4 linked regions of the Drosophila melanogaster genome follow. Changing the gene in region 1 together with any one later gene gives a genetic interaction. Each region holds a gene or a part of one and is shown in the gene's direction. Other genes may lie near its edges.

Region 1 (4,791 bases):
TAAGTTAATTGACATATTGCATTAACAATCTTTACAGACACAATAATCTTAGTTCCAACTTGCAAATTGCTAACATAATTTTTCCAATATTCCCACATATCTTAAAACTGTAATTACATTTTCAGTGCTATTCTCTCCACCTGCACTGTACATGTGTATGTATATTTGTCGCAAAGATTTTTACTCATTTGTAACGGAAGCAAATCGCTGGTCAGTGGGTGGTGTATTTGTGTTGTCGTGGGTGTTTGAGTGGTTGGGCGCTTCGGTGATGAGCATAATCCGCATAGTTGTTGCTCCTGCCCCTTTATTATGTAAAAATAGTGACTTTGGCTGGATTTGGCTATGCAAAGTACTTGCTAAGGCAATCACCTACACTTGCGGCAACTGCTAATTGAGAAATCCACACGGCGCTGACATGGAATCATTCGAATCCATTGAAATTGCCAAATTAGGCGTGGGGGTAACCCCTTGAACTTATCGGCTCGGCTTAACGGGTTTAACAAAATTAAATACACACATATGCGCATGTATACATATGTTCATGCTTGTAGAGTGGCTCCTATAGTCTGTTTTGCGAATCAGAATCCAAGTAGAATAGTTTTTTAAGTGTTGTCTCAAAGATGTATGCATACATGGATGTATGTATGTATGTGTGCTTATGACTCTGTAGAAGGTCTATAAACTATGTATTTTGAGGTTTTGAAATGCGAGCTCGAATCAACCCCCTTCCCCGTTTCCAGCTCGATTCATCCTCTTCAACAAGTTCATCTCATCATTTACAGTTTTAGCATGATCCGAAAAATAACAACAACAACAACGACAACAACAAAAGCAAGAAAGTGGGCACAAATAATCGTAACAACAACAATTGTGAGGTCAGTTTGGCACTAGTCAGCGTGTGTGATTATGTGCGCACTTATGTCTGCGTGCATGTACATACATACATATGTTTGTGTGCGAGCACAAAGAGACAATGCAAATTTGCACTCAAACAAAGAGAGAGCGAGTGCAAGTGCGAGTGCGAGAGAAAGGGAAGAGTTCATGAGCGTGCGTTGTGAATGGCTGGAGGGGTCGAGTGCTGTGAGTGGGGGGATCTTTGTTTATCATTTTTGTGTACTATTATTAAGGCGCCGCTGACGGTCGATGACGACATACACACACACACACACACACACACGCAAATGCAAACATAGAGTTTGCACGTGTTTGTGCAAAGTGTTTAGCCGCAAGAAGTAAAGTTCTCGTTTTGATTTTGTTTATTCAAAATTGAAATTCCCAGAAACAAAAGCTCCCATGACGATGATGATTCACATGCCAGACGCTGCGGGGAAAAACATCAGGAACTTTATCAGCTAATTGTGTCACAAGAGGACAAATAAGCCAGAAACATTTGCCTGCGCGCGTTTCTTGGTATAGTGCCATCAACTCGATCTCGATCTCAGTAGTTCATCTTTTATAATGCCCACACACACATACATATGTACATATATGAGCATATGTACATATGTACATAAGTCATATGTACATATATGAGCATATGTATGTACATAAGTCATATGTACGTACATACGTTTTTGATTATCTTAAAAAATTGTAATCACACGTACTCCTGCCATTTGACTTAGACCCACTTTCGATATTGACAAATTTTCAATGGTTTTACATTTTTTCCCCACCTCTATTCATAATTTCTGTGTCTCTTGTGTTGCTTAAATGGGCCGTTTTGATTTCTTTCGCGTCTCATTCCAATTCCATCCCTCTTCCATTCCCATTGCCACACGCTTGGCGCTCTTTTGCATTTTCTTAAAGTCGCCCAGATAAGTTCGGAATTACGTAATTAAGCGGCAGCAGCAACAACAAAAACAACATAACCAACAAGCTAACAATTAAGTATTTATTGCTTTCAATTTGCTGCCCGATAACAAAAGAAGCCAAAAAACAAAAAGGAAAAACGAGAGACTGGAAAAAACAAGCAGAACAAAGTAAATAAAAACCGAAACGGACACACATACACACACACACACACCGCTACCTGCGTCGACAGCGGCAGCGAAATCAGCGCCTCGCTTCAATTTTATTCCGTTTGAATTTGAAGATGTTTTTAGTGCACTGCCATTAAGTCCTTAGCACGCGCTTTTATTTCGCTTCGTTTCAATGTGCAGGTAGGAATAACAAAAAGCGGAGGATGGGAGTGACAACGAAATCGAAACTTTGCAACAAAATTGCATTTGAATGAGCAGCGGGGGCGCGCGGTAATTTCAATTATCAATAACATATTTAAATTCCCCATTCTCCTCCCCTTCTATTATCCTCTGTCCCTCCTTCCCCCCTCCACGGACTCCTACACCTTTTTTAGTCGCTCTCTCAACTCTTGATTGCTCTCTCTCTCCCTCTCTCTGTGCGATGGGAACGTTCTCTTTGCCTTTGCATCGGCCACTTCACTTCAGCGGAGAGCACAGTGGGATAAATTGGCAGTTGATGACCCATTGTTGCATTATTGTGTTTTAACCATAAAGCCAACAAATGCTTGGCGTTCAAGCCCTTCATGGAGTAACGCATATCAACGGATTGTCGGGGATTATCCAACGTCTTAAAGTCAAAATCTTACAAATCGCAGTATTTACCTGGCAAACGTGTTAATCCACAGGTAAGTTGGGCTGAAACCACCCTAAGTCAATATCAAGGGTTTTTTTTTAGATCTTTCTAAAGTTTAATTGTACGCATGTCTTAGCTTCGAATTCTTGTCATCCGAAATGCTTTGTTGTCCATTTGTTCTTGTTCTGGCCCACTGTGCCGCGTGTGAATGAACGTATAAAAAGTGAGAGCGTCGCCTGCCCGACTCATAAACGAAAATCAATGACTCCCAATGCGCGTACCCTTCCCTCACCCCCCTGCGGAGCCCAACGCTTTTTGGGAGTGATAAATGCCGCCTCAGCGTCGTCAGCAGATTTCAGCCTGCGCATGTTTGTCGGCCCGCAAACACTCGCAAACACACACACACGCTCTTCCCGTGATGTTTGTTGATTTGGCTGCATTCAAGAAACGACAGTGCTTGGGGCAGTGGGCATTGTTAGACTTTTAGTCGTTTCAACTCTACTTTCAGTGGGTATCATCCGCAACCAAAAGGAGGAAGGATGAACATTGCATGTGTGTACATACATATGTACATACGCAGTACGTAGTACGGATTACGTATTACGTATGGGCAGTTGCCATTTATGCAAGGTGGCTGTTCCTGCACTCGAACACATGTTTGTGTGGTCATTTGTAATTTGGTCAGGCGAGCAACAAGAAAAAAGGATAATGAAAGGATCAAATGTGCGTAGAACGTACATATAAAGGGTGTGATATCACAATTATTTTCGATGACTTCGTTTAATGTTGGAAAAGTAGACGGGAATGCATTACATCGAAGTGAACTATTTAACTTTGGATAGAACTGTTGTTTTTTGTAGGCATTTGCATTTCTCGCCGCTTCTTCTGCTCCTCCTCCTGCTCTTCGCTTTGGCGTTGGCGAGAGAGCGCCTCGTTGGTCTCTTTGTGTGTTTATGCTTTCAACATTGATACGTGCCACTTTTCGGATGCAGACTTGCGAGAAGCAGCGGGGGGGGGGGGGGGGGAAGAGGAAGTGGCAGAAGCTGGTAGACGGGGGCAACGTGTGGGGACAGCTGGGTGAGTTTGTAATTAATTGCGGCCTTGCCTCCCCTTCACCGCCAAACATCCTCATCCCCGGCAGCCAGGCTCCCTCGCTCGCTCAGGCAAACTCTCTCGCTGAGAAACCAGCCGCCAACAGTTTGTTTTCTTTTCTCGCCGCTCTCATCGTCACTTCCGACTCGTCGGGGGCAGAGGGTGGGCCAGCGGCATACTCTTTGTCTAGTCGCCAATCTCCCCGCACTCCACTTCATTCATGAAGCACAAAGTGTACAGCAGACACTCGCTAAGTGACTAGTGTTTCGTAATTCATTAAGATTTTTGTTGGTTTTCTTCTCTCATTTTTCCCGCACCAATTCTGCACTATTCACAAGTAAAAATGGCACCAACTCTCTTATTTGTGGGCACTAAAACGACCATGAATCGTCGTTCGGTGTTCACTGTACCTGCTGCCAGTAGCCCAAAAACGGACAGTGGCTGAGGCGTCAGCGTCGGCAGAGCAAAGAAAGCGCGCTAGTTACAGTTACAGTTACGTTACAGAGGGCCAAAGACAATGCTAGGCTTGGTTAACGGTAATTACAGCGTTTGTGGGGGGGGGGGGTGTGGTGTAGTGCTCGGGCGTAGCTAGGCAGAGGGATATTTGTTAATACATATGTAGCACTCGAATTCTTTAGTTGGTTTATAATATCATCAAGAATGAGGAAAAAACTAGCTAATTTGTTGATAAATGTTAAGATGCCCCTCTGTTTTAAGTCCTCACTAAGCCCATGAAAAGCACCGTTAATTGAGTGGGATGATCCCCATTGAAAGCGCAGTACTACAGCTAATTCCAATACCACTTTCAATATCCAATTGCTCGCCTTTCAATCGTCGAAACGGTGAACGAAGAGGAGAAAAGATAAGGGTATGTACCGAAATGTGGAAATACCCGAAAGGGCCATTGGAATATGGGATATTGAACCCTAATCGTGAAGACCTCGTGTTTTCTTTGACTCATCAGCCGATTTTGCGATAATGCGCTCTTTTTGGTATCCGTTGGATGATACATAAATTAAATACATAAATGATAACTTATAGAAACACCATACACAACTGTTTAGAAATTTGTGTCAATCACTGTGACTCACTCATGATTGGTGG
Region 2 (7,572 bases), on another chromosome or scaffold:
TCACGCGAATCGCCGCCGGCGTGGATCACATGTGATTTAGAGTTTTTATTTCGTACGCAGCGATTCACCTTTTGCGTTGCGGCCAATATTTATTCGATAACTAATGAAAACAAAAAATTAAGCCAAAGGTGTAGCGAGAAGTGCGAGGTGAGCGGCGTTTGGGGATTGAATGACAAGAAAAAGTGTTAAGGCAGCTAAGGTTAAAAAGCTGCGCTGCGCTGCGGTTTCCTCTGCCGGCGTCGTCTCTGCATTGTTGTTGTCGCAAGCCTTCATAGAGGTGGGCATGTGGTACATGAGGTTTGGCGTGACACGACTCAGTCGAAGATGTGCTCTACATTTTAGCCAAATTTGCATAACAAATGTCTCTTTTACTTTTGTTAAGTGAAGGATATTTAATTTGTTAGAGAAAAAAATATTCTAATTTTTAGGCGCATAAAATCATAAAATATTTCACGCTACATATACTTATACACAAGTAATTTTTTATAGCATTCCACGGATCGCACCAAAGTTATTTTAATAATGTTTCTGTGGTATGAATATTATTTTTTCAAACTGCAACATTACAAGTTACTCGCTGACGCGCCCATCCCTAGCTTGTAACTGTTCTCGCAGGGTGTTCGCTTTGCCTTCTCTCTCACACTCTCTTCCGATCCGATGCAACCGGCGACTATATCGAAATTGAATTTATCACATGTTATGCGTTTGCACATGTAGTGGTGTTTGCGAACGCAGGCCCTATGCCATTTTCCCAGCATTTATTTATATTGCGTGATTAGAGGCCCCACGACGCACACATGTAAGTAGGTACGTACGTACATACGATGAATGACTTGGAGCACATGCTCTTTAGATATGTTTGTGCGCGGGTGTGTGTGTGAGTGTGTATCACATTCTAATGACTTCTGTTGGATTTTCACACTTTACTTTTGGCCGTGCGTGAATTAATGCGGCATTAAAAAGTCGTTCGTTACCTGTCGGAGCTAGCGGAACTCGATGGGTTGTAGAACTTGATTTGTTTCGTCTGGGTCACAGACATTTCGACAAGAGAATAGTGATTGCAGCAGCCAGTTGCAGCGATTAGAAAAAAACACGCGGTGATTTACTTCGTCGTGCCTCTCCCTCTCCGAGCAAGTGACTGATTCGTTTCTGAAGGCATTGCGTTGGAAAAACGTGCGCCGCCTTCGTATACATACATATGTATACATCTACCCGAGCTTGAATGGTCAAGTAAAGTGCTAATTGTCAGCTGGGGAAAGGCACTGGAGCGGAGGGACGCTCATTGCCTTGTTTATCTCCATTTGATGCTGTCATTGAGGCATTTATTTATATGTTTTGGGGCAATTCAATTCCATTCGCAAGGCGCTCAGCTGTTTGATTGGGGCGGCGACAGTGTTGCGAAGCGCTGTTGGCTGTTGGGTTGCAGTAAATTCGAATGTGAATGGCTAAATCCGAAGCGGGGTTTTTAAATGTTTGATAATTATTACTTCGAGCTTGTGTCAATATAAGTGAATATTTTACATAAAACTTTGTGGTTTCTAAAAGATTAGCTTACAACATGATCTTTAGGTACTAACAAATAAAAGGTTGTAAATAGCGGTAGTGCTCGGAAAATATATCAACATGAGACAATTACCAATTCGATTATTTTTTGTTGGTCCTCTATCGATAACTGTTACTCTTACTCTCTTGCACTGCAAGCCAAATTCATATTAATTAAGACTATAAAAATAAACACATACAGAAACATGTGGCTGTTTCCTGGCTATCTTGGATGGAGAAAGTAGTATGTAGTAGTATCATAATTTATAGTTTTCTTTCCTCTTGTTCTGTCCCTTAAAGAAACTTTGAATAAATTGCATTTTGTTCAGTTTTAAAATGCATTAAATAATCGATTGCCACGCTAGTTCGATAGTATTTAACGAGCACCGAGTATTGTTCGAGCTCTAAAAGATGGTCACTCCGGACCAGAGAGACGCAACAATATAGCAATTCTGAACTTGGTTCGAGTGTTTTTGCAGCACGAATTGATAATATGCCGTAGGTGCGGCCCAGCGCGGATCATCAGCAGCAGCAGCGATGGCCTACATCAACATCGCCGAGTGGACGCCCGACCAGGTCACCGACTGGATAAAAGGTAATGCTCGAGGTCAAGGAAAGCGCAGCTGAGAAAAAAAAAACTGCATCTCGCAGCCACTGCCCCAAAAAGCAGCAGCAACAACAAGTGCAACAAGAATTTCCGCTTTGTTCAAGGTTTCAACAGGCACATCATAATAATTATGTTTTCCTGATTCTCGCAGGTCTGGATGAGTCTATGAAGGGGTATTTGTACGAGTTCTCCAAGCAGGAGATCGGCGGACGGGCGTTGCTCAACATACGGCCATACGAGCTGGAGAATCTGGGCATGCTGCGCATTGGCCATCAGGAGATCGTGCTGGAGGCGGTGGAGAACTTAAGAAACTTCGTGAGACCCCAAACAAATATTGTGACATACAAACCCGTTAATTGAGCTTGATATTCCAGCATTATCACCTGAAAAACGACAATCTGCAGTTCATGGCCTTGCATGTGGCCACGGCAGCTAAGAATCTGCATCGCGAACTGGCCAGGAATCATGCGGAGAGCACTAAGATCGATACCCGGATACTGCACGATATTACCAGGACGATAGCTACTCTAAAGCCATTGGTGGGCAGCCTGGAGCGAACACCGTTCCGTAAGCAGGAGATGTACCGCGAGTATTGTGGCAATGTGCTCAAATGCGGCCTGGAGCTGGCCACAATTGCCCACCGTGATCGTTTTGCCCTGCAGCCGGTGCCAGCGATTCGACAGTCAGCGGAACGGCTCGAGAATCTTGCCAACTTTGTAATCCAGGACATATCTGATCCCATGGTACTGCAGCCAGCCTCTCTGAACCTTGTCACCCTTAAAAAACGCGAATCCGAGTTGGGTTTCAACATAGAGTCCAGTTATAATGGCATTCACCGTGTCACGGATATCAAGTACAACTCGCCAGCTCACAATTCCGGAAAAATCGAAGATGGCGACGAGATTGTGCAGATCAACTACCAGACCGTTGTGGGCTGGCAGCATCGCACAGTACTGGAGCATCTGAGGGAAGCACTTCCAGATGTGGTGCTGACGGTGAAGAAACGGCCGAAGCACACAAAGATGTTTGGACAGATCTATATGCAGCCGTACAGGTTGCCCAGCAAGAAGAGGAATATGGCCGCCCGCTGGGCGGCACAGATGCCAAGTCCCCGTGCTGCATTTTTAACCCTGGACACGGAGCAACTGGCAACAGGAGGAACAGGAAGCGCGGTGCCAGATCCCAGTAAATCCCTAAGCAGTGAGAAGAGGGAGGTACTTACCAAGGCCAATCCAGTGTCCTCTGCCTCCGACTCTGATTCCAGTTGCAGTGATATTCCAACACCAACGGATCCCAAGCTAGCCGCACGGGAGATCCGTTTGTATTACCCAAAGCCAAGAGCTTTGCTCCAACGAAGAAACACTATTTGTGGATGCGAGTATCTTAGCCTGAAAAACTCGGATCTAGTCGTTCCATCGTGGCACGAAAGAAAGCCAGGAATTGGTTCGCCCACCAATTGCGACCCTGGCTCGCCCAGTATACGGGATAAGTCGATATCCTTCGGTTATGGCCTAGAGATGGCAGCAAGGCCGACCACTTGCATTGGGATTGCGGGCGATACCTCCACGGACAAGGCCAGGCGAATGTTTCATGAGGCGCGAAAACTAAAGCAGCTGACGGAGGACTCGCAGCGCGAATTCCTCGTGGATCGTTACAAGCCGGGTGTCAGCAAAGTAGTTCGGTTCGACGCCAAGGAAGATTATGTGATGAAGAATGAAAAATTTATCTGTAACGTTGAGAACACCATACTGGAGACCTTTGAACCGATTCCCTTTGCGGATGAGGGAGACGAGGACGCCTTGGAAACGCTGCGCAACTGCAAAACAGAAAACGCAGAGGAGCTCCTAGAGGCAATTAATCTGGCTACAAAAGGTCAGGACTTGCCCCTGGCCGAGGCCATTAACATGCCTTTGTTGCAGCAAGGTCGAAGGGGCCGATTAGACAAGAGTCATAGTACTCCGGCATACGATAATTCGGGTGAAGAATCGGATACGCCGCCAGCGATTGAGCCAAGAAAGGAGTTCCTGCTTGTCACACCGCCAGCACCGCCACCGCGACCCCGCAAGCAAAGGGAAATGACGCCACCGGCGGTGCCTCCACCTCCACCAAAACCAGCCAGCATGCAGCCGGCTAGTAGTATCACCAGTATCTCCATTCCCGTGCCAGTACCTGTACCAGCCGCAGTTGATCCATCGGAGATCAGTGAGCTTCATACGCCCAGCAAATCCCGGACACTGACCCTTAAAAAGAAGCACAGCTTAATGGCCAAGCGGCGGAACACAAATCTCAAGCTGTTGGGGACTGGGGATATCCAAGGTCATCTGTACAGGCGCAAGAAAAATCATCGCGGAGTGACTTACTGGGCGAGAATCTATTTCGTGATGCTGGATACGATACTGTACGGATTTCGCAGTAAGCAGAGTACCAGCGCCAGCTTGGTAATATTTTTACCGGGCTTTACGGTTTCATTGGCAAAAGAAGTGCACTCCAAACCGCATGCCTTTAAAGTTTACCACACGGCCAAGAGCTTCTACTTTGCGGCCGAGTCGCTGGACGCACTTAACCAATGGGTGGACTTCTTGCGCCAGGCTTCGCTCAAAGTGCCGCCTAGTACGGGTTCAAAAGGCGGTGGTGACGCAAAGGATTTGTATTCGGAGAACGATAGCTCAGGCGAGGAATGCGATGCCCTTGTGATCCAGAATTTAAGCACGCCCTCGCCGCAAGGCAACAAGGAGTCAATGTCCATGTCGATGACACTATCTGGCGGAACACCACCTTCCTCTGCACCCATTAAGCATGAACGCGGCTACTTGGACTCGTTTCGCAAATTTACGAATACATTCAAGAGCAGTGCAGCGAAACCGTCGAGCGACATCCCTGTGCCAACGGAGCAATACCGCAGCTATAGGAAGGTGCCAGGCGGAAGTTTTGGCATTCAGATTGGTGCCAATACACCGGGCTACCATGATCCCGCAATGCCGCCGACACAGATTCCACCTTTGGTGGGTCCTAAACTGTCGCGTAGCTCAAGTAGGAGTTCGGTGGTCAGTGGAACCGAGTCTGCCGTATCATTATCTGCTTCGATTCTGGGTCCGCCCGCGTCGCCAGCGCCAACGCCCACGCCTACAGCCACTCCCACATCGCTGCAGCATCAGAGCTCCGAGGAGAGTCCAAGTCAGAGCCAGAGCCAGAGTCCCAGTAGCAAGTCGAGTTTGAAGAAGGCACCATTCAACTTCTTGCACGCCTCAAATCCGAATTTGGTGGAATTCGATTTCCATACCTCGAAAACACTACTCCCCAAGATGAGTGTGGGTAATACACTCGACCATGGCCATAATATACAGGGCTTTGTGACGCTTAAGGATCTGATGCTGCGCAAACAGGAGGAGGAGGCCCAGGAAATGTACAACAATCGAGTGCACTTGGGTGTGGAGAAGCACAAGCACGCACGGACGGAATCCACGGCCAGTCAGCAGAGCGCCATGAGCAGCAGCGTGACAAAGCCGCTGGAAAAGTTGCCCAAGATCCAGAGCGTGAGTCTGCCCAAAACACCCGACTACGAGATCAGTTTTAAGCCTGACGACGAGAGTATTAAGAGAACCAGAACTAAGGAAGGTCAGAAGTTGCGCGACTTTGGTTACGAGCTGATATGTGGGGATGAGCCGAGCACTAGCTCCATCAGCCGGCAAGAGCACCACCATCATCATCATCATCACCAGCACCACCTGCAGCATGTGCAACAGCAGCAGCAGCTACAACATCAGCAGACGCAGCAGCAACATAGCAGCAAGGCCAAGCACTTCTTGCGCTCACAGCAGTTACAGCTCTCCAGTTTCCTGCACAAGAACAGCAGCGGCGGCAGCGGCAAGAGTTCCGGATCCGGTGCGGATCAAAAGAAGTCCAAAGGAAAGTCTAGCGGCGATCGTCGGTTTCCCTTTTCCAAGCACTCAACTGGCTCCGCGGGCAGTGGCTGTGGGCCGGGTCATGCGATGACTATGACGCTGCCGCTGAACAAGAAGTCCAAATCGAATCACGCCTTGGATGGAGCCGTAGGCAATGGAGTCACCATAATCGGCAGCGGCAGCAGCATCAAGAAAAGCCAGACGTACAATCAGGATCTGCGAGACAAGATAGTGGGCACCAAGTACGATGCGCATCGCAAGAACTCGGCCCCGATACCAATCTTTTCGAAACTCTCCATATCGGGTGGCACGCCGGCGAAGCCCTCCAAGGAGAATCGTTTCCTGGGCTCACCGCTGCTGCATCGCACGCTGTTCGGGCACCATCACCATCAGCAGCAGGCAGTAACGCCACCAAGCAGTGCGGATCCCGATTGCGATCAGGAGATCTTCTCCCAAATCACCCTGCCCACGCACAATCAGGCGGGATATCGAAGTTACCGTGGACCTGGCATACTAACCACCTCGACCACTAATTTGTGCTCGTCGGAGGGCTTGCAGCCGCCGTTGCCCCCAGCGCCACCGCCTCCCGTCAACACCAGCAGGCAGAGAGAGGAGGAGCAAGCGGAGGCAACGATATCAGAGTGTGCGGCCACCCCAAAAGTGTCCAGTTCGGGATCTGTGGATTCGAAGGCGGCAACGCCGGACTATCCAAATATGGAGTGTCCGCCTGTCTTTGAGCCGGAAATCTACTCGCTCAGCGATACCAGCTTGTCCCGCATCGTGATGCGGACGCCCAGCAGCAGTGGTGCCACCAGTGCCACCGCCAGCACCACCACCACCAACAACAACAACAACAATAATAACACCAATAACAACACCAACACCAACAGCAGTCCCAGTGGCGGCGAACACCATCAGACCTAGATGTGTGATGAAAACTATTGTGAATGCTCGCGGGGATTAGCCCCCGTTTACTTATGTATTTATACACACGCATATAGATATATATATATATATTATATATAGCGATATTCTCGTACGATTTAGGTATACAACTTGTTCATTTTGATCGTCTTCCCTGTCTGTCCACCAGAAACAAACACACGCATACCTGCAATCCCTTCGATTCGAAACCCACTTAGATGTAAATGTTTAATCTGCCTTATTTGCATTGTATTTCGGTTCTAGGCAAAATGTTTTACACATGTAGTCACGCAAGCAAAACAATGAATTATAGCGAAAATGGAGAATAACTTTAGAAGTCTGTGCATCGAACAAAGACGGTTCTTTATGATTTGCCTTTGTACGCGATTAACCAAGTTAATCCGAGCTGTTTGATTTGCTCAACAGTTTGTGTCTAGATTGCGTGTAATATACATATATTATTATGCGAAATGAGATATTATTGTAATGGCATCCAGCGACGCCAATGGAGCCAGAAATGTTGTAGCGGAATGCAAGAAATATATATATACACAATTACACGAAATATACATGCATACGAATAAAGTCAACTGTACA
Region 3 (4,548 bases), on another chromosome or scaffold:
CATGCAGTCACGCACACAGGCGCATTCATTCATAAAAATCCGGCTCACCTACACGAGTTGTAAGATTCCAGCGCAGTGGAGAGAGGGAGAGAGAGTGGGAGAGCGGCGCGCATGCGCTCTTTGAGTTCTTTTTTTTCGCTTGCTGCACTTGTCGCCCCCTTTTATGTTTTTCAGTTTTACCTCTGCGGCAGCAATTAAGTTGCAGCAGAGGTTGACAATCAGCCATATTTTTATTGCACGTGTTTCGTTATGCAAGGCTGGTTAAGTTTTTTTTTTTTATGTGTACATATACGCTCCCTTGGCCGGGAAAATCGGGAACGCCATCAAGTTTTGTTATCCCGAATCTTATTGCCCTTTTTCTGGGTGCAGCTGGCCATTTGACTGCCGCCCCTGCACTTGCATTCACTTATGCTGTGTAATTTGTAATTTATGCGAAATGCGTTGCCGGAATATAAAAACATTGCAGTCGTTTCAGTTCCATATCGCCGCTCTCTGTCGCACACACTCTCCGCACACATAAACCTGTTTGTGTTTTTGATTTGCGCGAAAGAGAGAGAGAGAGAGAGCCTTTCGAACGCACAGTGGTTGTCATGGTCACGGTGGGAAAATATCGCGCTTAACTTTTTTTGGGGTGTCCAAAAGTATTTTCCCAAGCTGCAGCTTTCCCACATTGTGTGCAAACTTTAATAATGATAATAATAAGTTGATAATTTAATCTCACATCAAAATTTTCATATAGGTATTATTTCATATTAAATAAATATTTTATTAATTATTATAACAAAGAAACTAGTATAATTTTCCTTTTAAATAAGCTGGAACTGATATTTTGACCAATTTACTTTATTTGTCAAAAATATAGATTTGTATAAAATCCAGAATCAAAATAAATAAATTTTTATATCAGTGTACACAATTGAAAGACTGAGACTGCCAAATTTTAAAATATTTGTCTTTATTATTCCGCCCCCTTTGCATACTAAATATTTTAAATATACTAGTGATTTTGGGCACTGTTTAAATGCTTGCCAAAAACGATCGCCCGCACACACACACACACACACATACACGCACCCACACACTCTCTCGCATATTCGCACTTACACTGAGTTCTGAGCAAGCAGATTTTTTTTATAAATTGTTGCTATTTTTTTGTCGCTGCAAACACTTTGTTTTTGCTGCTCGAAATATGTAATTCTGATTTCCATTTTTTTCTTGCGCTCATGATGCACGCTCTAGTGCGAGTGCGAAAGAGATAGCGAGATTGAGGATCACCCACGCCTTTTCGTTTTCATTCCAGCGATCAAGTAAAATAGCGAATAATGTTTATAAGTCAGATTGATATAACTCTCGATTTTCATATTATTTGCCATTTTTGTTATCACTTGCCAGAGCAACACAAAAAAATATTAATCTTAGCAGCGGAGAGAAAGAGAGAGAGAAACGGAGAGAGAAGGTGCGTCGGCGTTGGCGTCAACGCTGCGTCTGCGCCAACGTCGGCGTCGCTGCCGCCTGTTGCCAGTCGGTCAGTCTGTTTTTGTCTTTCTTTCGGGAAGCGTGCACTTGCGCTACGGTAAATTCGATTTGAATGAATTATACGAATCAAATAACAAATAAATAACAAATGCAAAACACTTTGCAAGCCAAGCAAAAACCCAGTGTGTAAGTGAATGAGTGCAATAGCAAAACATCTAAAGATCTGCGCGCGCAATATACATCAAAAAAAGGAAGGCAAACAGCAACAGAAAAAAAAACGCGGTTCAGAAACACAGGAAACCAATTTCTATATACGAAATTCATCATAAAACCACAAAAATCTCCTCAAACATCGCGTGAGAGTGCCTGAGTGTGAGTGTGCGCGCGCGTGTGTGTGTTTGCCAGCGATCCGTCGGCCTTTTTTCGGTTTGTTTCTTTTCGCGTCTTATAAGCCGAGCTAAACCGATCCCCGATTTCTTCTCGAGTTGTTCCTTTCGGTTTTTCGTTTGTCTTTGTGCCCGGCACGTAATCCCTCTCTCTCTCCCCCTAATCAACCTGCTGATCCCACCGGAGGGTTAAAACATACACATCTATACAGCGTGATAGAGAGAGAGAACGAGCAAGAGATAGTCATCGGTGCTGCGGAGTCCATCAAGATTGTGCGCCTAATTTGAAGCTGTAATTAATTTGGATACCCTAATAAAAAGCCAACCGAAAGACGGTCTTTAGAATCCAGAACCCACAAACCAAAAATCAAGAGCCCAGTAGCCCCCGCCTTCTTGTTCACGAAGGGGCGCTATTTTATTACCCCGCACCGGTAAGAAAAGTGAAGTGTTGAAAAACAGTAGTTCAAGTATTAGTTTTTGTTATTTTCCCTACACTCGAAACAAAAATCCAGCGAAAATTAAAAGACAAAACAATTGAAAACAAATAATAAACCATATATCTCTTAATTGCTGTTGATATATAGTTTTGAAATATAACTTTTAAATCATATTTATCTTAAAAATATGAAATTTAGAGAGTTTCTTTTGAGTGCATGTAAACCCTTTTTGTGTTGGTGTTGCCTGTTTTCTTGAATGAATCTAGGAGAAAACTGGTTTGGCTACCGCTCGGTAGATCCGCCGATCTCGCGATCTCGCCTCGATTCAGGATTGCTGCCTCTATAAACTCGTTGTTGGCCAGGCCAACAGAATTTGAATTGGTTTTCTACTCGGCATCATAGCCAAGCTAGTTAGCCGCCAGTGTGCGTGAGTGTGTGTGTGTGGGGCACTTCCACAACCCTTGTGGGAAACACGCTCGAAATTACTACTGTTCCTTTTACAGCTTCCGGTGCGGCAAATGAGCTTCGCCTGCCCCACGATCGCGTTTCGGGCCATCAATCCAAGGGGTTTGGTAATCGAGAATGTGTGAACGGTTTTTGGTTAGGGTCAAGAATCTAGCACAGCGATCGCATTAGACAATTAAGTATCAATAAAACTGATACCGGAGTGCTACTCTTTTGACCTTTCGGTTTTAAAGTATGTATAATTGGGGCTTTCCTGTTCTGCACTTTGGGTTACCTGAAAGGGTTTTTAAAAGGATCTTACAATTTGGGATGTAAATTAAAGTAATTATTAATACAAAAAAGATCAAAGGATAGTTAAAGGCTTAACCGATATCATATTTTATAAAAATGTTACCATTAAAATGATTAATTTTACAATAAGATTTTGCTTAGATCAATTGTTATTATTTCTATGATAAAACTTGATTTACGTCCTTATCGCAGTCTTAAAGCCAAAAAACGATAATTTAAGGAGTTACGATCATTGAACTACTCTAAAGACATGTTTAATATCCCTTGGGCTATTTAAAAAAAACCAATTTGCGAGCAAAATACACAAGGGAATGATAAGAAATTATTGCCATAATCGATAATTTGATGTGTGACGATCGTCGGATCATAATTGAGCCCAGCTACCGCCAACCGCTCCTCTCCCTTTCCCTCCTCGAGCGTCTGGTCCGAAATGAAAGACCAGTTCAAGATCCTTTTCCATAAATACCCACAGACAATTACAGTTCAGTGGATGTTCGACGGGCTGGTTCGTTGCCCCATGCCACGTTAAACTCGGATTCTGTGCCCGGACCGATGCTAAAAGTATCAACCTGCTGCAGACAGGCCGAGATCAAGATCGATCCCATGACAAGACAAGACGACACACTCGCACAGATATGCCACACACACAGATACTCCGCACACATAGATATTCCGCACACACATGCAGTTCGGACTGTTCTGCGACAGATAGAACAACACATGTGTACACAGGCAGGCATCCCGAGGATCATCAGCGGATCGGAGATCCCTTCTTTACATTCAGCGCGAGGAAAAAAGGGCCAGGCGCTGGGAAAGAAAAGAGCAGCGACTAAATGTGTATTCTACCGTTACGTACACATCGAAAAATTGCACCCCTATTTGTTGCCGCTGCTGGTGTTTTAGTTGTTGCTGTCGTTGTCGTCTGGCCGAGGAGTGCGCACCATATCAAAAGATCATATTCGTTTACAATCTGTTCTTTAAGCATCTGCTGCGCCCAGACTCTCCTCCAGACATCAAAAACTCGGACTGCCAGACATCTTCCACTCGTTTGGTCCACTTACTATGGGCCAACCCAAAAAATTTTGCTCTTTTCCAGGGAAAACATATGCTCCGATTTTCGTTTCAATTCGATTCGTGTGGTTTTTTGTTGTCGCCCTCGCTCTCCCTCATACATACGTATATATAATATTTTATTTTATTTTATTTTTTTTTTTCGGTTCGGTTATCTACGTGTCGGGGCGATAAGGTTTTTTGTTCAGATAGTTTTAGCGATTGCGACTCGTTTTTGGCACCCTGCCGAATGATTTTTGGTGCTCGAAATGCTGCGATTTGAAGGCGGTTTTTGAAAAATGTGCCACTTTCAAACTTACGCATTTGTTCCTCGATTTTCCCTCTGGACTTATCTGCATTTGAGGAATTTATTTTCATATGAATGATTGATTGGTTTCAAAAAAAAAACTGTGGAATTCGCGAATCGATAAGGACAATTGTCA
Region 4 (7,652 bases), on another chromosome or scaffold:
TTATACCAAGTCTTCGCATCACCAGTGTTGACAATTTTATAGGAAACTACACTGTCAAGCTCTCTTTAGTTCAGTTCAAAAAAATTTTAAAAAATATAACTTTCTAATGAAAGTTCAGTTCAAAAAAAAATTTTAGAAGAATAATAAAATAAACAATTTTAGAATAAAAAAATTATGTAATAAAAAAATCCATCTTAAATTTAAGATAAGACCTGTGCGGCAGTTAATCTCAGTGGTCTAAGGTCAGCAATGATCGAATATGTATTTATTAAATTCAAATTTCAAAAACACCCGTATGCAGAGGAATCGATGGCGATAACAATGGTAACAAACGCGATTATCTTACGAAGTAATTTCCAAACACTGGTTTATAGGGAACAAACAAATGTACCTGTCATTATAAATATTTTGAGACTTCCTTTAACATATAATTCTCTTTGGCAGTATTTAATTTAGTGGATTAAATTATCCATTATTATTTCGTAAAGCCACTTAAGAAGAATCACCTTGTAAATATTTATAAGGATAAACGTTTTTACGTAGTTATAAATTGACCTAAATTTGCCTAAAAAGTACAAGTTGCTTAAGGGCCAATTAAACTAGAGGGTTCGGGGAATAATATGAGTTTTCACATCTGCTTCATTTCACTATTGATACTTGGGTATAATCAATCCCTTCAACATATCAAAGCTGTTTCCATCGGGCTGCACAATTTCTATAGTACCAGTTGGTAATTTCACCTCCAAAAATCCAAAGTCATCGATTCCCACAATTTCGGCCTCTTTTTCCTGATCTTTTTGTAGGCAAATCTTAACAGATTGCCCGCTGTACATAAAAACATGTTAGTAAATGTAATATGCAAATTAAATGTATTTTAAAAATGTTTTAAATTTACCTGTGTAACCATAGCGAATAGTATAATGCATAAAAACTATCAAAGTCTCCGTTTTGTACTTCTCCCAAAAGTCTTTCGATTTCATTGAATATCATGGCAATAAGTAGCTCGTACTTAAGTATAGGTAACTTGTTGTTCGGGACACGGGTATTATATTCTCTTATCAAGTCATTGATGCAAACTGTTGGTCTTGAATTGTTCAAATTAATTCCACTTCCGATATTGACGATGGCTTGGGATCCCTGAAGTGTGGTATTAATGACGAGGCCCCCAATTTTCTGATTTCCATTTGCATAAATGTCATTCGGCCACTTAATGGAAATATCCAGCACCTGAAGGTGATATGAATAAATTAAGTAAAACTCGCCTATCTCCGTAATATTACATATCATAAAATATAAATTGGAACATCAAATATTAACTTAAAAAAATTATTTTTAGTTATAAAATTAAAATATTAAAATAATATCTACCTAATTTCCATTTCCAAATAATAAAATATAAATATTAAAATATTTGACTTATTTCGACTAATAAAATAAAAATGTGAAAATAATTTCTGGATTAATTTTTCAAATAGAATTGAAATATATATGCTATATACACTCGAAGACATAATATAATTACAACATAAGAATAATAATACTTAACGTTCTATTTTTTTTAAATACAGAGGAGTGCCCCTAAGTTTTTCGGATAAGTGCTTTTAGTACATTTTGGTGTGCAGTGAGAAGGAGTCCTCCCGGGTATGGTCACACTTCTCTCGATGCGCTACTTGGGTGTAGAGAAATTTCAACAACAGCCGAGGAACTTGTACAAATTATTGCTTTTTCGCATTGCCTAAGCCGTTTAGAGTTGCGGGCGTTAGCGTGCGCGATAGCCGGAGCACCGAACGTCAAGGTCGCTTGGCGAGGGCCACAATGCGGGGCGGAGTCCCAGCCATTGGTCCCATCGAATCGTCGAGTCCCCGAGGGGGCGTCTGAAAAAATCAATCGGGCTCCACTCCGTCGCGAATAAGCAGGATGAGCAGCAACAACAACGCACCCGCATCGGCTCCAGACACGGGCTCCACCAATGCCAACGATCCCATCTCCGGTTCGCTGTCCGTAGACAGCAACCTGGTTATCATTCAGGACATGATTGATCTCTCGGCCAACCATCTGGAGGGCCTGCGAACGCAGTGCGCGATCAGCTCCACGCTGACGCAGCAGGAGATTCGTTGCCTGGAGTCGAAGCTGGTGCGATACTTCTCCGAGCTGCTGCTGGCGAAGATGCGGCTAAATGAGCGCATCCCGGCCAACGGGCTTGTGCCCCACACAACGGGCAACGAACTGAGGCAATGGCTGCGCGTAGTGGGCCTTAGCCAGGGGACTCTTACCGCCTGCCTTGCTCGCCTGACCACTCTAGAGCAAAGCCTGCGTCTCAGCGACGAGGAGATCCGTCAACTCCTGGCTGACAGCCCCAGCCAGCGAGAGGAGGAGGAACTGCGACGCCTGACCAGGGCCATGCAGAACTTAAGGAAGTGCATGGAGTCGCTGGAGAGCGGTACTGCGGCTAGCAACAACGATCCAGAGCAGTGGCACTGGGACTCCTGGGACAGGCCCACCCACATTCATCGCGGCAGTGTGGGAAACATTGGACTGGGTAACAATTCAACCGCCTCCCCGAGAACCCATCATCGCCAGCATGGTGTCAAGGGAAAGAATTCCGCTCTGGCCAACTCCACCAACTTCAAAAGTGGCCGCCAATCGCCCTCAGCGACAGAAGAGCTGAACAGCACACAGGGTTCCCAGCTGACTTTAACCCTTACGCCCTCGCCACCCAATTCGCCCTTCACGCCTTCCAGTGGGCTGAGCAGCAGCCTTAATGGAACACCACAGAGGAGTCGTGGTACCCCGCCGCCAGCTAGAAAGCACCAGACCTTGCTGAGCCAGAGTCATGTGCAAGTGGACGGGGAGCAATTAGCCCGCAACCGTTTGCCCACTGATCCCAGCCCCGATAGCCACAGCTCCACCAGCTCGGACATCTTTGTGGACCCAAATACTAATGCCAGCTCCGGAGGAAGTTCCTCGAACGTGCTTATGGTGCCATGCTCTCCGGGCGTGGGTCACGTGGGCATGGGTCATGCAATCAAGCATCGTTTCACCAAGGCCCTGGGCTTCATGGCCACCTGTACCCTGTGCCAGAAGCAGGTCTTTCACCGCTGGATGAAGTGCACCGACTGCAAGTACATCTGCCACAAGTCATGCGCACCGCACGTACCGCCCTCCTGTGGACTTCCACGAGAATATGTGGACGAGTTTCGGCACATAAAGGAGCAGGGAGGATACGCCAGTCTGCCGCATGTGCATGGCGCGGCGAAAGGATCCCCTTTGGTAAAAAAGAGCACCCTGGGTAAGCCCTTGCATCAGCAGCACGGCGATAGCAGTTCGCCGAGTTCCAGCTGCACTAGTTCCACGCCCAGCAGTCCGGCGCTGTTCCAGCAAAGGGAGCGCGAGCTGGATCAGGCGGGCAGCAGCTCTAGCGCCAATCTGTTACCTACGCCTTCGCTTGGCAAGCACCAGCCGAGTCAATTCAACTTTCCCAACGTGACGGTGACGAGCAGTGGCGGAAGCGGTGGTGTATCGCTCATCTCCAATGAACCAGTGCCAGAGCAATTCCCCACGGCGCCTGCAACAGCCAACGGAGGACTTGATAGTCTGGTGAGCAGCTCCAACGGGCACATGAGCTCGCTCATCGGTAGCCAAACTTCAAACGCTTCTACTGCGGCCACCTTGACGGGCAGTCTGGTCAATAGCACAACCACCACCAGCACCTGCAGTTTCTTTCCGCGAAAATTGAGCACAGCCGGTGTGGATAAGAGGACGCCGTTCACCAGCGAGTACACGGATACCCACAAGTCAAATGACAGCGACAAGACAGTCTCCTTGTCTGGAAGTGCCAGCACGGACTCGGACCGGACACCCGTTCGTGTGGATTCAACGGAAGACGGAGACTCGGGACAATGGCGCCAGAACTCGATCTCACTCAAGGAATGGGACATCCCGTATGGTGATCTGCTTCTGCTCGAGCGGATAGGGCAGGGACGCTTCGGCACCGTGCATCGAGCCCTTTGGCACGGAGATGTGGCGGTTAAGCTGCTCAACGAGGACTATCTGCAAGACGAACACATGCTGGAGACGTTTCGCAGCGAGGTAGCCAACTTCAAGAACACTCGACACGAGAACCTGGTGCTGTTCATGGGAGCCTGCATGAACCCACCATATTTGGCCATTGTGACTTCATTGTGCAAGGGCAACACCTTGTATACGTATATTCACCAGCGTCGGGAGAAGTTTGCCATGAACCGGACTCTCCTCATTGCCCAGCAGATCGCCCAGGGCATGGGCTACCTGCACGCAAGGGAGATCATCCACAAAGATCTGCGCACCAAGAACATCTTCATCGAGAACGGCAAGGTGATTATCACGGACTTTGGGCTGTTCAGCTCCACCAAGCTGCTCTACTGTGATATGGGCCTAGGAGTGCCCCACAACTGGTTGTGCTACCTGGCGCCGGAGCTAATCCGAGCATTGCAGCCGGAGAAGCCGCGTGGAGAGTGTCTGGAGTTCACCCCATACTCCGATGTCTACTCTTTCGGAACCGTTTGGTACGAGCTAATCTGCGGCGAGTTCACATTCAAGGATCAGCCGGCGGAATCGATCATCTGGCAGGTTGGCCGTGGGATGAAGCAGTCGCTGGCCAACCTGCAGTCTGGACGGGATGTCAAGGACTTGCTGATGCTGTGCTGGACCTACGAGAAGGAGCACCGGCCGCAGTTCGCACGCCTGCTCTCCCTGCTGGAGCATCTTCCCAAGAAGCGTCTGGCGCGCAGTCCCTCCCACCCCGTCAACCTTTCCCGTTCCGCCGAGTCCGTGTTCTGAGGGAACTGCAGCATGGCCACTGTCACTGTCTAGTACAATTTCGATCTACCAACTAAGCTAGCTCGCTTTGTGCCCTCGTCCACTCTACACAAACTCTCTCCCAAGGCGAAGTTCTATCGAGCCGAGCGAAGATTGTAAATACATAAACGTAACTACCAAATTATAGCAATCCATTTTAAAAACTACATACATATGTGTAGGCATGTATCGGGAGCACTCCAGTTGCAGTTGTTAGCAAACGAAACAAAGGCAAATCAAATGTTAACTCGAAAAAGACAAAACGCTTAAATGTTTAAGAGCAGAGGCAAACAGAGAAGGCATAGACATACATATACAAACAAACAAACAAGCACTGTGGCAAACATAAATGTAAACGTTAATCAGGTGAGCAATTTCTAAATTGTTAATTATGTGTAAGAGAACTATATATATATATATATATATATATATATATATATATATATATATACATGTATATACAGCAGCAATGTATTGTATATGACGGACTAGTGTTAAATTAAATATATATTGTGAATTATGTATGGTCAAGTGTATATAGTAAATGGACTTTAAATGCGAAATCGAAACAAAATGTCAAATAAACTTATTAAACCTAAAAAATCACTTTGTGCACTTGGCAGTTTTACAGATCCTGAGGTTCGTCCCATCGTCCCACAGGCGGAGATAATCGAAACAATCTTAACTTAAGATTCAACTAAATGGTAAAACTTTACAGTCTTGACTCACCCCGTACTCTTCATGACTGCGGAGCGAATTAACAATCGCCGTTCCAACAAGGTGCTGCAACAGAGGCAGCCGAGAGCTCAAAGCGCTGTCCATGGTCAGGTGCAGCTGCAGCGAGAACATGGCACAGCCCGGCGGACTAAGCCACTGGAAAGCACAAAGCGATGATTTCAACAAGAACTTAAATCTGGATGCTTCTAGAGTACTAACTTGATTATTTCTGCGACCCACTCCGGACGTCTGCTGCACGGGGAGCACAGCCAGGCCGTGGATGAGCTCCAGGTTGTTTATGAGATGCATGGAGCTGCTGACCACCGGTGCATAGATGACCAGTCGTCCGATGTGTTCCGTCTTAAGATTCTTTAAAATAAGAGGAATTTGGGTTAATTCTGCTATAGACTAGAATTAGAATGCGCTCACATCGAAGTAATCCACGGTGGAGAAGTCATCCGGACAGGAATGTATGAGTATGGGCAGGACATTGTTGTTGGCCACTGGAGGCTTATCGTCCTTGCCACAGAACTTCATCGTCAGGTTCGGCGTTGCTATCACGTTGTCGGATCCGCTGCAGCGCAGACGTAGCTTCTCCAGAAGCTCAAACTTGGCCTGAATAACAAAAAGAGCTAGAATATTGGATTCTGATGCCAAAACAAATGGAGAGACGAACTGACCTCGTGCCGACCTAGGAAATATGCGTGCTTGTAGACAACTCCAGGCTGCGGCTGGTCGACACCGTCTCCACCGCGGACCTGCACATCCAAGTACTTTCCCAGGAGATCCGCAAATATCTCGAGGCGAGTTCGCTCGTTTTGCTTTAGAATGGAGTACTTAGTCTCATCGGATTCAAATTCGCTGGGATTCATTTCCAAGTGCACCTGTTTTTTTTTTTGTTTCATAGGAATGTTTTTTTTTAATATATGTTTGTTATATTTACATGAGCAATCACTTACTTGGGAGAAGACGGCCTTTCCGCCGCTCTGCAGGCTTTTGGCCAACATCAAGCTGGGCGTATTCCAGGTTTCCTCGGTTCCCAGCACATGGACATCCAAATTGTGGCTGTGACCGGCCAGATCCTTCAGTTCCATGGACCTTGGACATACTAGAGCTCTGAGCAGCGTTTCGTGGTTTGATTTGTGTTTTTTTTTCGATTTTTGTTTGTTTTTGGTTTGTTGTTATTTTAGTTATTGGTAGGATGGATTATAATAGTGATAGCACACACATATAGAAGCACACGCAGAAATTTAAGGATTTAGAAGGTAAACGTAGCAGGATGGTGAAAAGGTTTGAAATGCCAAATGTTTATAACACAATTAAACAATTAAATTACATGGATGGCACATTCAATCGATAAAAAACAAGAGTTAAGAGAGCTTACAGAAAACATAGATAGGTTAGTTAGTTAGGCGGATTGAAAACGGAGTTTAGATAGATGGATTACAGTGCACACCGAATCAAATAGAAATTAAGCCATATTTAGAGTAAACGAGACCAATTTGAGCATGAAACATTTGAGAAATAAAATGAGAATTGGAATTGGTTAGAATCGGTTTAGTATAAGAACGATTAATTAGGATTAATTCATTTCATTTCAAGCCCCATTCAGAAAAAGTAATAATATACATAAATGAAACAAGACAGGAGGTTGGTTTCGGCAGGCCGAAGTTCATATACCCTTGCAGAAATTACATATGTATATGTCAAGAAAAAATATAATACAAATTAAAACGGGAATTATATATTCCATTTTTATTTCATTTATTTTTCGATTATTCCTATGGAAGCTATAAGAAATAGAGGACCGATTATTCCCTTTTCTTACTTACATATTTCAGGAGGAAGTCTTTTCATGCAAACAGCTTTAAAACTGAGAGGCTAGAATCCTTAAAACTGGATGAACAGACGGACTTGGCTGGTAAAACTGATCAAGAATGAAGAAAGTGCCTTTTAACCCTTTAAGCCCTGAAAACTTCTGACTGGAAGATATATACCTTCTGCAAGGGTCTAAAAAGTAAAGCGTTATAACTTGGCCTCTTTTTTACAATTTACCCGACGGCTGTGCAATAATCGACTTGAATAGGGCTTTCGGGTGT

What was found.
Region 2: of Raf (region 1) and cnk, changing one enhances a phenotype caused by changing the other (phenotypic enhancement), as found in Drosophila melanogaster (2 studies listed by BioGRID).
Region 3: of Raf (region 1) and pnt, changing one enhances a phenotype caused by changing the other (phenotypic enhancement), as found in Drosophila melanogaster (2 studies listed by BioGRID).
Region 4: of Raf (region 1) and ksr, changing one enhances a phenotype caused by changing the other (phenotypic enhancement), as found in Drosophila melanogaster (2 studies listed by BioGRID).

Annotation. Positions count from the first base shown.
Region 1 is NC_004354.4:2,293,707-2,298,497, forward strand, and holds the start of Raf (Raf oncogene), read left to right. Parts: upstream 1-1,759; 5' UTR 1,760-2,252; intron 2,253-2,447; 5' UTR 2,448-2,647; intron 2,648-4,791.
Region 2 is NT_033778.4:17,413,976-17,421,547, reverse strand, and holds the start of cnk (connector enhancer of ksr), read left to right. Parts: upstream 1-1,540; 5' UTR 1,541-2,079; coding exon 2,080-2,137; intron 2,138-2,300; coding exon 2,301-2,464; intron 2,465-2,523; coding exon 2,524-6,975; 3' UTR 6,976-7,572.
Region 3 is NT_033777.3:23,343,143-23,347,690, reverse strand, and holds the start of pnt (pointed), read left to right. Parts: upstream 1-1,523; 5' UTR 1,524-2,293; intron 2,294-4,548.
Region 4 is NT_033777.3:5,477,903-5,485,554, reverse strand, and holds ksr (kinase suppressor of ras), read left to right. Parts: upstream 1-1,648; 5' UTR 1,649-1,917; coding exon 1,918-4,818; 3' UTR 4,819-5,565; coding exon of another isoform or gene 5,566-5,709; 3' UTR 5,710-5,772; coding exon of another isoform or gene 5,773-5,922; 3' UTR 5,923-5,982; coding exon of another isoform or gene 5,983-6,168; 3' UTR 6,169-6,233; coding exon of another isoform or gene 6,234-6,437; 3' UTR 6,438-6,512; coding exon of another isoform or gene 6,513-6,669; 3' UTR 6,670-7,165; downstream 7,166-7,652. Other genes in the region: Hcs (holocarboxylase synthetase), read right to left, coding at 648-825, 896-1,227, 5,566-5,709, 5,773-5,922, 5,983-6,168, 6,234-6,437, 6,513-6,669.